Linked DNA regions of Lonchura striata. Each later gene encodes a partner of the first gene's protein in a complex. Links are inferred from orthologs where the notes say so. Each region holds a gene or a part of one and is shown in the gene's direction. Other genes may lie near its edges.

Region 1 (7,291 bases):
TGCACTCAGATGAGTGGAAATATACATTTAACTGTGGACTTTGTTCTGCTAAGGGGCGAGCACCACCTGCCACATGTTGCTCATGGCCTTTAAGCAATTGAGCCAATGTGCCTCAAGTGTAGAAACATGAGAAGCAGAACAGAGTTCCCATAGCTGCTGATTGAAGTAGTTAACTGCTTGGAAAGGCAAAAAGGACACTTAGAAGGGTTTCCTCTTGTAAAACCAAGACAATAATTGATCTTTCCTCAAGGTTATGAAAGATGGAAAGTCTTCTCTGAAATCTAGCTGCTGAAAGCCAGGAACTCTGGCTGCCAAGGTCTACAATGATAGAGTGAATCCTCCTCCTATAAAATGGATGCTTCCAGTTCTCATTTTCTCTCAGCTCAGGTTCTGAAGTGAACAAAGCTTTTAATAATTCTGTTGAATGAGAGGTGAGTTTTCATGCCTGTTGGTGAAATGGTTAATTCCCTGCATACAGGATTTCAGCAGGGCATTAGGGATAAGAGTTTGGGTTTTCTGTTAGGAGTTGGCAAAGCACTTCATCAAATCATCACAAAGATCTTTTAGGTCATCAAGTTCACATATTAACCTAACACTGCTGAGACCACAACTAAACTGTGTTCCTAAATGCCACATCTACACATATTTTCAATACATGCAGGGATGGTGACTCAGTTATGGACACCTGTTCCAATACTTAACAACCCCTTCCATGAAGAGATTTTTCCTAATGTCTAATTGTAGGATGCATCCTGAACAGCAGTCAATGTAGCCACTATAAATCTGCCCTCCTGTACTACATATGGTTCATACTCTACTCACTGCCTCCTGTGATGGAAGGAAGTTAGTTCCCTGTGCCACCTCACTAGCACACAATGGACTCTTCCTAAACTGTTTATAATGGTGTTATTGAGAACACAGCCAGGGAGATAGAACACTTTGCTCAGACTTCTGGGTTTTTTGCTTGTTTGTTTTTTGTTTTTTTTTTTTCAAAAATCAAAGTATGTGTAGTGCCTGAGAAAGGAGACTATGAAACAGGAACAAATGTTTGAAGTAAGAATGTTAATAACAAGAAAACACAATCACTTCTGTCTGCTCTGAGTTCCTCTAGGAAGTTAGAACCTATGATATGGAATGTTGTAAGGGTGGGAAGTTTCAGCCATGGCTGATGCCCACTGCAGTGGAAATGCTTGCATAATGCCAAATACTGCCAGAAAGGGAATCCAAAATTCCAAATTAGTGGGTACTTTCATGACAATTAAGATAATTGATAGCTTTACTATGCTGAAGAACAGGGGCAAAATAAAATGCTGAAAGGCTTTTAATGCGTGTGTGATCTTTCCCATGGAATGAAAAAGAGTAAAGGTTCTAAGTAAAGATTCTGAGCACTCATGTGTCTAGGATCAAAGTATATGATTACAGATCTATGGACTGTGTTTCAGTGCTCATCAGGAGGCAACAACAAATTTTCTGACCTCTCAGTACTTGTCTTAACAGTTTTAGCATCTTTTTTTTTCCTCTGTGTGTAATTTGCCATATGCTACAGCCTTATTATTTTTATTAAAATTGTCCTAGAAAGCATTCATGGCTCTTCACTTTGGCCATTCCCCTGTAGAGAATAGGTTCTAAAATGCCACAAGTGCCATATAGGATCAAGAAGGGACACAAACCTCTCATAACCTCACAACCTCACCTGACTGACAATTTTCCCCCTGCTTCAGGGGAGAAATGTACAAGAAATTACCTTGTCCATCATTAGTAATGCCTTTTTCTTATCTCATGGCTAGAATGGACATAATTGGCATTTTGTGTAGAAAAAATATCACCAGTGTGGAGAGTAGCATTGAAGGTAATATTCATGTTATTTATTATTCCTTTAGAATATTATTTTAAAAATGAAAAATACATGCTGTTTTTTTAAAGTTTCTTTGAGTTTGGAAAATTTGGTTTATACATAGAAAACTTCGAATAGACAATTCAGGTATCTTGTATAATGGGCTCTCAGCTCAGGAAAATTGAAAAACTTACAAATTTTGTTGTACCTGACAAAAAAAGGAAGAACAAAAAGCTGACCTTTTTTCTGGGAAACAGTATATTTGACTAGATTTATTTTTTAACAACATATTTTTGCTTTTAATATTGTACACATCAGTGTTGTACATATCTACATTGTACTAATAAAATATAGCATATTTAGAAAAGCATTTCAGTTTCAATCAGCATTTTCCAACAGAAAATCTGTTCAGTTCACATTTCCCAACTCCATCCAAAAAATATTTGCAACAAAATGTTGTCAGCAAAAATGCACTCAAGAAATATAACTTTGTTGTGCTGCTTCTCTGGCTAATTCCAATGATAACAATGTGAACTTTTGTCCTAGACATATTAAAGAAATAAAATTACTTGGAGTGCAGCTATATACAGATAATTAAAGCCTATGCCAGCTCTACCAAAAAGCATTGATAATGCTGAATTAAAAGAAAAAAGGAACTTATTATATTTTCCTAGTCTTTCAGAAGATTCGTTTCAGAATTTGGCCCAGGCTTCATTCTGCAAGGGCAGCTGAGAGAGTGAACAGAACTCCTATGGATGTCCTGACCTGTCTATGTGTACTTGGCCCATCATGGGACTGAATACCATGAAGGTATAAGGTTGAAGGTAACACTTGTAACTCCATAAGCCAAGCATCTGCCTCCTTTTTATTTTATCCAAGATTCTGTCAATGTAAATGAGCTGTAAATATTTATTTTATATTAAGGTGTAGAATATTCTTATATCTGCTTTATTAATGTATTTTGTAGGTTAGGAAAGACTAAGGTTATAAGCTTTCATACCATTTCTTGATCAAGATGACTGCATGAAGTTCATATAGACAAATTATCAAAGAAAAAATATAATTTCTTTGAGCATGATTTTCATAAAGATTTGATAATCTCATCTCTCTACTGTCAGTAAAGCTGTATGCATAATAATGAAACTAAATGAGCAATTTGGCTAAACAACATACCTCAGTTCAGGTGTCAAATCCATACTGACAAAAGAGATGATGTCAGAAAAGAACAATACTTCAGATTATGTTTACTTACATTTCTATTAAATATTGGCTTGACTGTCTAAGACACACTGTGTGTTATCATTTGAGGTTGATACATGTTGTTCTAGATGTGTTCCTACTTCCATGCACCAAAACCTTCTCTCTTCCTTTGCCCCCGCCCCTCACAACACAGGTTGGCAGCTATTGGTGGCCATCATGTTTCAGAAGATGTTGCTAGTTCATCATCATTCACTGCTAGATAGAAAAAAAGAAAAACCCACATCAGAAAAACAAACAATAAACAGCACAAAGTTTACACTTTCTTTTTTTAAGTCTTCTTGCTGAAGGATGCCTGTCAACAAAAATAAAATCAGAATAATTTATAATCTATTAGAAGAAACTATAATGTAGCTATACATTTAGAATAAAGACTTGAAGGCTCTCTCCAGGTGCACATCAGTCAGTGGCAGTGAGCAATAGCCATTAAAAGAATAGCCACTAGAGGCTTTCAGTTGCTCGGCCTGTCAGAAGTGATGAAGGAGCAGCCCCCCTGCCCACCCAGGGCTTGTTACCCTTAAATCTCTGGGTGACTGTCCTTTTCCTCCAGCAGAGCACAGTTCTCCATGTGAAAAAAAAAATCTCACCGGTGCTCCAAATGGACATGAATAGCTGATTCACACTCTGATAGTCCTAGAAAAAATAAGGGAATGAATAAAAAATTAAATGGTGTGATTTGTTACAAGCAATGTGTGACACTGCGGGAGCAGTGCTCCCCACAGCTGCTGGCATGCTGGCCTCCTCCCCTTGGCTGCCTTTCCGCTGATCCCAACCTCCTGCAAACACCTTGGTGGGATAACAGCATTCCACTAGAAAACTGTGAGAGGAAGTCCACTGAACAACGGCAAGGGTGTTTTATTTCCAGCCCTGTGACAACTCAGGATTAAATGGATTTTCATTGTTCTTTCCTTGCTGCAATTTGGATTTGATGCCAGTGTAAGTGCACCCGGGGTTTTATTTGGTGCCGCCCCCCCGTCTGCGAGGCTGGTATTCTCCCACTAGCTGCCTGCTCTAAATATGGCCATGGCCAGTGTGTCAATAATCCCCCTCTTTAAGGGACTTGCAAACATTAGTGTTGGGACATTCTTGCTGTTCAGATGTCTAGCTGACGTCTGATGCTTAAAACGGAGCATGCTTTCATCCCTTCATGCATTGTCGTAAGCCCCGATGATTACTCTTAAAAGGGTGCCTCTGGCTATGCAGGGAAACAGTTGCTGACCACACGAGACAGCCTGCTTGCTTCAGCCTTCTTGAATGCCTGGTCACTGTAGCTTTGTACCAGCCTGACCAAGCAGGACCATGTCTACCTTTGGGTATAGAAGAGAGCTGAGTAAATATGAAGACATTGATGAAGATGAGCTCCTGGCTTCTCTCACTGAAGAGGAGCTGAAAGAGCTGGAGCGGGAGCTAGAGGACATAGAGCCCGACCGTAACCTTCCAGTGGGGCAGCGGCAGAAGAGCCTGACAGAGAAAACACCAACAGGGACTTTCAGCAGGGAAGCACTGATGGCCTACTGGGAGAGGGAGACCAAGAAACTCCTAGAAAAAGAGAGGTTGGGTGCATGCGAGAAGGTAAGATGCTGAGGCATTTGCTGTTTCCTATAGGTATTTGGTTTTATTCTGCATTGGCATGATCTCACTGACTGATTTAATTTCTTTCAGTTTCTTGTAGCATTTTTAAAAACATTGTTAGGCATACCTCTGTGCCTGCTAAAGTGCTGAGTATTTGCTCAGAGGATGTTTATTCTCTCTGAAAGTACCTTAAGTGCTCTGTTCAGAACAGAAGAAAGTGCTACAAAAACTATCATTAGTGATTAAAATAGGGAAAAAATTAAAGGGCATGTTAGAAATTATTAATAGCTAGAGATGTGGTCTTTTGGATAGCACTCGATTTTTTAAGAAAGCTACGCAAAATGCCTTTCCTTAAAAACCAGCCAGTATTGACTGCTGAGAAACATGTAAGGAAGATAATTTTGAATACATGTTATGTCAGAAGTTGAGTAAGCGGATGCCAGGCTTTGTGCTCGCTGGAAGAAAGCATCTTGTATTGCAGTCAGCAGCTTGTGTTGCTTTGTTCCTGCTGAGGATCCTTGGCATGGTTCAGGAGTCTTCTGGCAACTGTAGTCAGAGGGCAGCTGTACATTATTTAAAAGGTGGCCTGGGATACAATCATCAGTCAAACCATTTAACTGCATTCTCAAAAAAACAACCAATACTTTTTGTTAGGCAACTCATCCCCAAAAATAAAAATGTTAGTAATAAAAGCCATTTCCTGAACTGCAAACAAGCAGTACAGCTGGGCAGGAGTGAAGGTCTGAGTCTTGGCAAGCAGTGAGCACACTCAGACTCAGCTGATATCCATGTTGGCACTCCTAATTCTTGCTAAAAGAGTATGTGAGACTGAGCCCAACCAAAAAGCAACTTCTATCTTCATGATGGCTCCATGTAATTTCAAAACAAAGTGGGGACTTGGGGATTTTTAAGCACTGCTTCATACCAAGCTTTTACTGTGTTTATAGGGACACGTTTTCCCATGTTTAAGCAGAAAGTAATACAACAGAGGCAAAGACAGCAAAACTGAACTCAGAACCTCTAACAGCCTTGATGCAGGAGCTTATTTAATTTACAAGGAAATAATTGCAGTTTATACATTAGATAAAATATCATCCTAGAGGAAAGTCAGAGAGATTAAATTGCCCTGCAATATGCAGGATGTTTTTACGTGTAAGTATTTTCTCTTGTTCATGAATGGTGGTATAAGGTCTTTGCAGGCAAGAGCACAGTAGCTGTCATCAGACCATTAGTATCAGCTTGCAGACATAGACTTCACTCCCTGTTTGTCAGTCCTAGAGAGTAAATGGCAAGATTAATGTTTATTTCCAGCTTAGCCTGGAACTTGAAACCTGGGCACTTCTAAAAAACTGCTGAACAGGTCTACTTCAGTATCTCATACAATGGCAGGATCTTTCTTTTTCTTTTGTTTTTCCATGTATATACAGCATTAATGGGTACTGGCTAAAACTCCAAGTCCTGGCAAAAGACTATACTTTTTGATCTGAGAAAAAACTTCCAAAATGCAAGTTGATATGCTGATATAGAGGTCACAAAGACTCTCTCCACTGATGGCAATGAGAAAGGTCCTTGAAAACAATATTCTTCTTGCTTTCAACTGTCTAGAAATTATGCACCTTTATCTAAGATGGCTATTCACGCTTGTTCTATAGTTAGTGGTGACAGATCAGCTGGTGCAAAAGGCAAACAACTTGCAGATAGCCTTTTAGGGTTAATAACTTGTCCTCCCAAGATATTTACCTCTGCATTGACTCTCTTAGTCCTGACTTTTCATCATACTACTCCCACAAAGTAAGGTGAAGCCCTACAGGTTGCCTGCATCAGTCTTGTACCACAGTGCTGCTACAGTAAGAATATGTCTCTGTATTCAATTTCAAAATTATAATGCAGATTGTTATGACACCAGATGATGTACATGACAGGCAACTAAATTCTGCCTTTGACCTCAGAAATGCCACTCAAAAAAAAAGTAGGTTTTTATTAATTTAACATCACTAAACATATCAAGAGTGAATTTAAAGGCACCTCCTTCTGCTCATCTGTAGTATATATTCCTCAAGATATAAAACCAAAGGCATGAAGACAGGGTTTTGGATACCTGGTGTTTTCAAGTCTTAAAGCCCTACACATATATAGAAGATACAGATATAAATCTTAATCCCATAATAAACCTATAGGTAGCACAGTATCTCTCAGCATAAGTGCCTTGCTGCAGGAGAAGCAATAGGACTGAGTCCTACAAGATCTCTGTGTGCAGGACAATGCAGTCAGACCCTGCAAGACCCCAAGATACTGAATGCTCAGGAACATCAGGCAGAAACAACTCCATGTCCTGTTTCATTAAGAGTCACAGTTCTGCAAACATTACAATTAGCATTTTTTTTGCATATTTCGCAGCACCGAATTCTGCTGAAAACTGTGAGACAGTACTCTGCATTTTAACAGTTCTCTATTTTCAGAGCCAGATAACTAAGCAAACCTAAAACTGCACAGGTTGTCTAAAAATAGGCTGTCCTGTTAGCAACACTTCTGTTTTCCAGAAACAGAATCACTGTGTCTCTGCAGAGTGTACTCACTTTGGAAAATACAATCTAGTATTTTACAGAGATTAAAACATAAGTACTGCTA
Region 2 (7,430 bases), on another chromosome or scaffold:
TGAAGCTATAAAGAGAAATATGTAGAAAAACATCATACCAAGAGTGAAATTTGGGTTTTGTCTTTCTGTTACTTGTTTTTTGTAGATGTTTTTCAGAGAATGACATTAGTAACTCCTAACTACCAGCTAAAGCAAATCTGATTTTAAAAGAAAGCATAATACAAAAACTTGGGAGACATGTTTGCTCAGCTGAAATCTAGCAAATAACAGTAGTGCAATTAGAGTGAAAGGAGTCTTAGGGAAAAAATAAAAAAGACCTTCTCAGAGCTATTTTAAGATCTTAGGTCATGAGTTAGGTCATGTGCTTCTTAGCATTTGGTGTGGTATCTGAGTAGACCCTCAGATTATAGATCAGGGCAGGTGCAGAAGACTGTGCTATAAATACATTTTTACTTAAGGAGTTCACTAATTTCTTGAATGACAAGCCAAACAGAAACATTAGTTCAGAAGAGGAAAATTATTAAAATAATTTAAATCTTAATTTTCCAACAAATCATCTCATAGTTCTTAATCACAAAAGCTAAACTGTTCTCCACCATTACCTAGGAAATGGTACTGAAAACCTTTTACAGAGTTACAGCATGAATTAAGCATGACTGGCATGTTCTGGAGTATTTCTGTACTTGTTTGCTGCCTACTGAGCTGTGCAGAGCACTGGCCATTGGGATTCCTACCTTCTGTTTTAGGGCTTTCTCTCCCCTTATGGCTGAAGCATAGATGACCAATTTCCCCAGGAGAAATTTGCCCTTTTTATGCTTCTTTCAGAAATATTGTCCCTCAATTTTTTTAGTGCAAAGCTCTTGGAGATCCTTACAGGATAAAATACACTGACTGTACTAGTAAAACCTACCTGATTTCATCAGTATTATTTTATTTGTTTTTCTAGGTGAATACAGATGTTTTCAATTTCCTATTTTCTTATAATATCCTACACTCATATTGTTGGCTCCCTTTATCCAAAAGGAACATTGCTGTTTTACAAGGGCAGCAGAGGTCTCAGAGACCTTTGAGAAATTGGTTTATATTTCATTTATATTTGCCTCCATGTGAGGGAACACTACACTTTTCAAATGACATACAGGCCTGTGAGTTCACTCTGACTGACCTAACTTGAATCCTTACTAGTTTTTTAGGAGGCATGTTTTATAGAACTGGCAGAACCAGTTGTTAGGTGTCATTTCCTGTATATTCCTAAAAAAAAAAAAAAAAAAAAAAAAAAAAAGACCCACACAAAAAAACCCCAACCCACAACCCAAAGCAAAAAGAGACCCAGGAGAAGAGTAAGTAGGTAAAGCAACTCCAAAGGCATTGTTTGAAATTTTTCCAAGTGATTATGTCCACCTACCCTTTTGTCTGTTACCAGAATCAACCCCCTATGACCAACCCCATCTATGCTCGAAGAGCAGATCCTCCTCAAGGCAAATTTCTGCCCATGTCAAGGGATAGGTGACATGACAGAAACATCATTATATAAACAAGTCCCAGCCTTACTCTGTATTGTACTGTCAGTAAGCCTGAATTGTGGCATCACCTGCTCACAGAAGGAGTTGTAAATTTTAAAACCAGGTATCCTTTCTTGGTGCTTTGAGTTTGCTGTCTTGATTTTCTGAAGAGCCCAGTTAAATTAACAGAATTCAAAAATAGTTCAGTAGGTATTCCCCAGAAGAAAGTGAAACTATTGCTAGGGAGTTCCTGCACCATTTATTGATGAGATGAGCCAAGCCATTGTGCTGAAAAAAGAGGTGACAAGTAATAGAGAATTTGTACTATGTCATAAAAGCAAAGTTTGTGCTGCCTTCTTCTTTCAGTAATTAAAAATAATTTGCATACAATCTGTCTTCACATATCAATTAAAGAGGGAGAGACTATACAAGCTATTTAATTTCTAAGCCTATCTTTCTTGGCCAGCTGGAACAGAAGTTTCCAAGTAATTGAAATTGTTAATGAAAGGTATAGCAAGCATGTTAACACATGTCTGTACTTTTCATATTCTCTCCAGGAGGAAAACAAAAATTAAATCAACATCAGCCAGTTCAGCCCCTTGGATACAGGTCATCTTGCTATAAACAAACTTATTAACTGCACATTTTCATGTAAGTAGAACCTCAATGTTTTTTGGTTTTTTTTTTCCTGTGGAGGTGATACCATCCTGCAGGTATTTTTTTTAAACTTTGTGTTCCTTCTACCTGTATCTCATACTTTCTTCTGTATCCTAGAGGCTCCCATGTCGTGACTAATATTCTTTCAGAAAACTCAAACAGGAGCTGCACAGGCATTCTTTTAAGAGCCTGTGCACCCCTCCCAAATTAGCCAGACAGCTGTTTGCTTAATTTCGCAAGATATTTTATTTCCCCAAAGTGAGAAGAGCTACCTCAGTGAATTCCCAACAATGATACTCTATGTTTTTTAAGGCAGAGGAAAATGTTCTCCTAAACTAGGGTTAAAACATACTGATACATTTAACAAAGACGTCAGGTTGTTGAACAATATGTAACTAGGTATCTTTTAAATATTCACTATACTTATTTCAGAAAGGCCCTAATCTTTACTGACTGTAGTGTGAAATCAAAGTAAGTGCAAAGAGAAAAACTACACTTTAGAGTTGGTTGTGACTAAATCTGTACTTTTTTAATACTCTTGTGTTTTAAAACATTCTGTGATAGTGCAATGTTTTACTCAATAATTTTTACTGTTGTACTAGCTTGGTTATTAAATCAATGGAGTGAGAAAGGACTGCAGTGATAAATGTCTTTTCTTTAAGTAGGCATAAGGAAAGCTATTTTAACAGTGGACTTCTGCTCCCTAGGAGCAGCACACATGAATCCCCATTCCAAGTTGTGAGCCTCTGAATTTTGTATAGTTCCTAGGTTAATTCAGATTATGGCCTTTCTGAGGACCTGGGGATTGTAACTGTTGGTCTTCATCAGGGGGCTTTGCTATCTTGTAGAGCTGAAGCTTTGTTTAAGCTCTCCAGGAACTGGCCTCCAAGGTCTGCTCGGCAAATCAAGCCCTTAACTGCCCTGATAAGCACCATGGGCCAGAAGTTGTAGGACATTCCCTCCTCCTGCAAAGTCACATCAGTTCAGCTGATCCAGTGACAGCACCACGGAGGAATTTTCTGCTACAAGTATTGAGTGTAGACAAAGGCTGCCTAATTTTCTCTTTGTGCAACCCACATCCTGTGGGACTTATGCACATCCCTGTACTTTCTACGCTGTACAAGGGAGCGTGCGTCCTGAGGACGTGTCGTGTCTTGCTCACTCTGCTGATGAGACTGTGAGAGACACGCCAGAAGTGAATTAAATAGGTCTTCACTTAATTATATGCAATTTTGTTAATTGTCTATCTGTTGCTGTCCCTCACTGGCATTACGAAAGGGTGCAAGTCACGTCTGTAGCTAGATTCCCTGCCCCAGCTATTCCTGGGCTCCTTCCCTCGCAGCTCTGGATACCCCCGGCAGGGCAGGTTTCCCACTGCTCCCGCTGAGGGTCGCAGTAGCTCCCGTCCGCCTTTTCTGTTCCTCCTTGCGCCCTTGAGCGCGCAGTACCGAGGCGCATCTCCCTGCAGGGCCAGGAGCCCCGGCCAGGTACTGCAGAGGAGAGCGGTGCACTTCGGAAGCACGGGCAGCCGCTGGCACCTCTGCCCTGTCCCGGCACTGCTCGGCCCCTTCCCCTCGGTGTGGGTCCCGGCGGAAGGCCAGCCCTGCCCGGGTCTCATCCCAAAGGCCGGGCTTCGTGCCCGGCTCTGCATGGGCACATTTGCTGCGGCCCGGCTGTTGAGGAGAGGTGCCCCCTCCTCCTCTGCTCCTCCGGCTGCCGGGGGGAGGTCTCGGAACGCATTCATTCCGTACGTGCATGCGATTAACCCCCTACTGCCCGTCCTGCAAACCCCCGTGCCCCGCAGGCCCGCCTTCCCCTGCCGCCTGATGCGATCGGCTCCGCCACCCTCCTGCTGTAGAACAGATTGATTTCCACGGGTGGGGACGGCTCCCGCGTGGGGCCGGTGTCACCCAGACACCCTGCCCGCTGCGAGCAGCCTTCGCGCCCGTCTCTTCAGCTCCCCTCGCTCCGTCTTGCTGCCTTTTTTTTTTTTTTTTTTTTCCCCTCCCGGGAGTAGCAGCGAAATGTCCCGTCCTGCCTATTTAGAAATGGGAACAAATTGCTCCCCCGCCTTACCTCGCCCATCGCATCCCATATATAGTCATATCTGCGGTCAAATGGCAGGCGGCAGCGAATGGGAAGGCTGTGCCTCCCAAAAAAAACCCGGGGGCAGTGAGAGAGGGAAAGGGGTAGGGACGAAAGGAGGAGGGAGGGAGGGAAGAAAAGAAGCCCTTTCCAAAAAAGTATTGGATGTCTTGAGGAATGCAGTCAGCCCCCTGGGAAAGTACATATCTGTGAGGCGCTCCCTGCCCGCCGCTTGCATTCGGCTGTGCCCCGTCCCGCACGGATCAACCCCGCCGCCCGGCAGCTGCACTCCGCTCCCCCGGGGGCCTGCGTCCGGACTCGGGGCTGTCCCGCAACTTTTAAAGTTTTTCTTTCGGAAGCAGTTCGCACGGGGACGCGCTCTAGCCCACCGCCACCATGGATGCCATCAAGAAGAAGATGCAGATGCTGAAGCTGGACAAGGAGAACGCCTTGGACAGAGCCGAGCAAGCCGAAGCGGACAAGAAGGCAGCGGAGGAGAGAAGCAAGCAGGTCTGCACCGAGGGCCCGGGCGCAGCGAGCGCCGGGGCGCAAATCTTTCCAGACTATTCTCTTTTTTTTTTTACCTCCTCCCCTATTCTTCCCCCGTCACCATACTTTGTTATATTGCAGCCCCGCGCCCCTGCAGAACTGGTTGAACTTTCCCTAAGGCAGAGCTTCAGCCTGGCAGCCACCGGCTGGAGGTTCCCGGGGGCGCGGCGGGAACCATTCCCCACCATTCCAGCTAGGGAGCAGGGCCTCGGGACGGCTGCGTGGCCTCTGTGCCTTTGTCACAGGGGGACGGCTTAGGGAGGCTGCCCAGAACGCCTGATTAGCACTGGACAGATGTGCGGCGATTTGGCAAAGGACAGTTAAAGCTGTGTTTGCCCACTCCATCATCCCTCAGCAGATGTGTCCGATTCCAGCTGCCCTCCCACCCTTCTCCGGACGCATGCCCCACCTTTTTGTCCTTCTTCAACCCCCCTGGGACTTCTCGATTCGGGGAGGGGGGTGCATCGATTGCACGTTTCTAGGAGATCCTGAAGGAGGAGGGAGAAAGGAAGAGTGATTTATAAATTAGTTTCACAGTTTTCTAAGCCAAGGGAGAAACATACTTGTGCATTATATTTCCTCTTGTGCACCTAGTTAGAGGATGACATTGTGCAATTGGAAAAGCAATTGCGTGGGACGGAGGATACAAGGGACCAAGTGCTGGAAGAGCTACACAAGTCTGAGGACAGCCTCCTCTCCGCAGAGGAGAATGCTGCCAAGGTATTGTGCCCTTGCTGCAAGCAAAGAGGATCTAACTGTCTCTCCTTCTTTCTCTCTCTGTCTGTCCTTTTCTGTCTCTTCTGCACTCACACCTCTCCGTTTGCACGATCACGCTGCCTGCTGCACCTTTTCCTGCCCGCCCTCCCCTCTCCACCACTTTCCACCCATATCACAGCTGGAGGACGAGCTGGTGGCTCTACAAAAGAAGCTGAAGGCCACTGAGGATGAGCTGGACAAATACTCCGAGTCCCTTAAAGATGCACAGGAAAAGTTGGAACTGGCTGACAAAAAGGCCACAGATGTAAGTTACCCCCATCCCTTTCGCCACAAGCCCGAAAGAGAAACCACACACTCCCTCTGCTCAGGACAGCCTGGACTCCTACTCAGCAGCACTGCAAAGCTTTGCTGAAGGCAGAGTCCAGGCACCTCCTGGACAGGGAGGTGGGAAACACAGCACTGCCTCCCTGCATGAGGTTTGCACACTATCAGAGGCGTCTGATTTGGTTTTTGCTCACTTGATGTGTGCTTTTTATGTGTACTTGCCACTCGAGATGTGAAAGTAAAGAAATGGTGATTTATCTATTCAGATGATGGGTAAAACGGCTCAGGCTGGAACAACACTGTCTTGACAGTGAAACAGAAGCAGAGAGTTAATAGTGAGTAGGTGCAGGAGAGGGAGATCCAGAAGAGCAAGGACTGCTAGTTCTGTTTTCAAGACAGCTGTTGCTAGGTATGCATGTGTTAGAACTGCTGGTAGATACTGGCTTGGCTCACTGGCCCCTGAGATAAAAGGTTCTCTCCTGCTTCCCCCCGCCTCCCCCCTCCCTTGGAATCAGTGGAACTGCTTCACTTGTCAAAGAAAAGTTGTCTTGTGTGACAGAAAAATGTCTGGAAGATGATACTTGCTAGTTTTGCAGTTCATAGGACAGGGATCCTGGGAGCAAGTTGAGAGATATATATAGCTCAGCACTTTATATGGTAATAAGGCAAGAGCTTGTGCCTCTCCCAGGCCCTCATCCCACCCACCTGTCTGTTCCTGACATGCATTTAATGGATCGCATGCATGGAACCATAAGAGTATAGTCTGTGCAGTTAAGGTCTTGGTCTCTATTGCTGCTGTTGGACAATTTAATTCTCCTTGAGTAAATCTCAGGTCTGAATTACAGGATTAGATGAAACTGCAGTATTTCCAAAGCAATGACCCTCCTTTTCCTATAGCTCAGCTCTAAAAGCCAACCTCAAAGCCAAAATGAAAAGGAGTTGCCTCAAGTGAAGCAAGCAAAGTATTTCAGGGGTAGGAAGGATACTTTCAAAAATGGAAACGTTACAAACAACAACTTTGCATAGAAGACAATATGCTTTTATCTTATTTTATTTCTAAAAGGAATAAAGAAAGAAAAGATTTAGCTTCAGTATGGCAACTAAGATATATAGTTTTGAAAGAGAACCCAAGAACTTAACAAACAGAAGTGTTCAAAGGAACAAGGGAGAGGGATCCGTGTATAATGTGGATCAGATGTCTGCTCTGTGCAGGCTGCCATAGGAGAGGCAGCTTCCTAGCAGGACATTTATTTAGCTTGTTCAAAGGAGCCGCATATAGATCCAAGGGAGATATTCCTTATATGGAAAAGTATGCAGACTATTTGGAAATAGCTTGCCTAAGATGAAGGCAGGAGAAATGCTACTAGATTCCTGTTCTGAAACTAAGGATGTTCCTAACTGATCCCCATGCCTCCTGCCCCTGCTGGAAAACAGTGTTTCGAAGCTAGTTGAGGGTAATTTTATTTAATTGAGGTGGAGGGTGGGAGAGTGTCTGGCATGTTTTCTTCGAGGTAAATACGTTATTTATTTGTATGTATGGAGTATGTCTTGACAGTTTAGGGATTTTTTTTTGGCAATGAAGAGTATATTTGGGGCATTGCAGTTGACCCAATATTTACCTTATTAGTTTGGATAATTCCGAGCCTTTGGAAAAGG

The links. The genes of interacting proteins can lie anywhere in the genome.
Region 2: the proteins of LMOD2 (region 1) and uncharacterized protein LOC110483956 are in contact, whole or in part, in an NMR structure (PDB 6UT2), measured with the Homo sapiens proteins. The link is inferred for Lonchura striata from reciprocal best matches to the Homo sapiens genes LMOD2 and TPM1. Residues at the interface, in NP_997046.1 of Homo sapiens: Lys12, Tyr13, Leu21, Leu22, Leu25, Glu29, Glu32, Leu33, Arg35, Glu36, Leu37, Asp39, Ile40, Glu41; in NP_001018005.1 of Homo sapiens: Met1, Ile4, Lys5, Met8, Gln9, Met10, Leu11, Lys12, Asp14.

Annotation. Positions count from the first base shown.
Region 1 is NC_134607.1:31,822,796-31,830,086, reverse strand, and holds the start of LMOD2 (leiomodin-2), read left to right. Parts: upstream 1-4,287; 5' UTR 4,288-4,390; coding exon 4,391-4,663; intron 4,664-7,291. UniProt on the Homo sapiens protein: Mediates nucleation of actin filaments and thereby promotes actin polymerization. Plays a role in the regulation of actin filament length. Required for normal sarcomere organization in the heart, and for normal heart function.
Region 2 is NC_134613.1:7,964,063-7,971,492, reverse strand, and holds the start of uncharacterized protein LOC110483956, read left to right. Parts: upstream 1-4,373; 5' UTR 4,374-4,580; coding exon 4,581-4,694; intron 4,695-5,628; coding exon 5,629-5,754; intron 5,755-7,430. UniProt on the Homo sapiens protein: Binds to actin filaments in muscle and non-muscle cells. Plays a central role, in association with the troponin complex, in the calcium dependent regulation of vertebrate striated muscle contraction.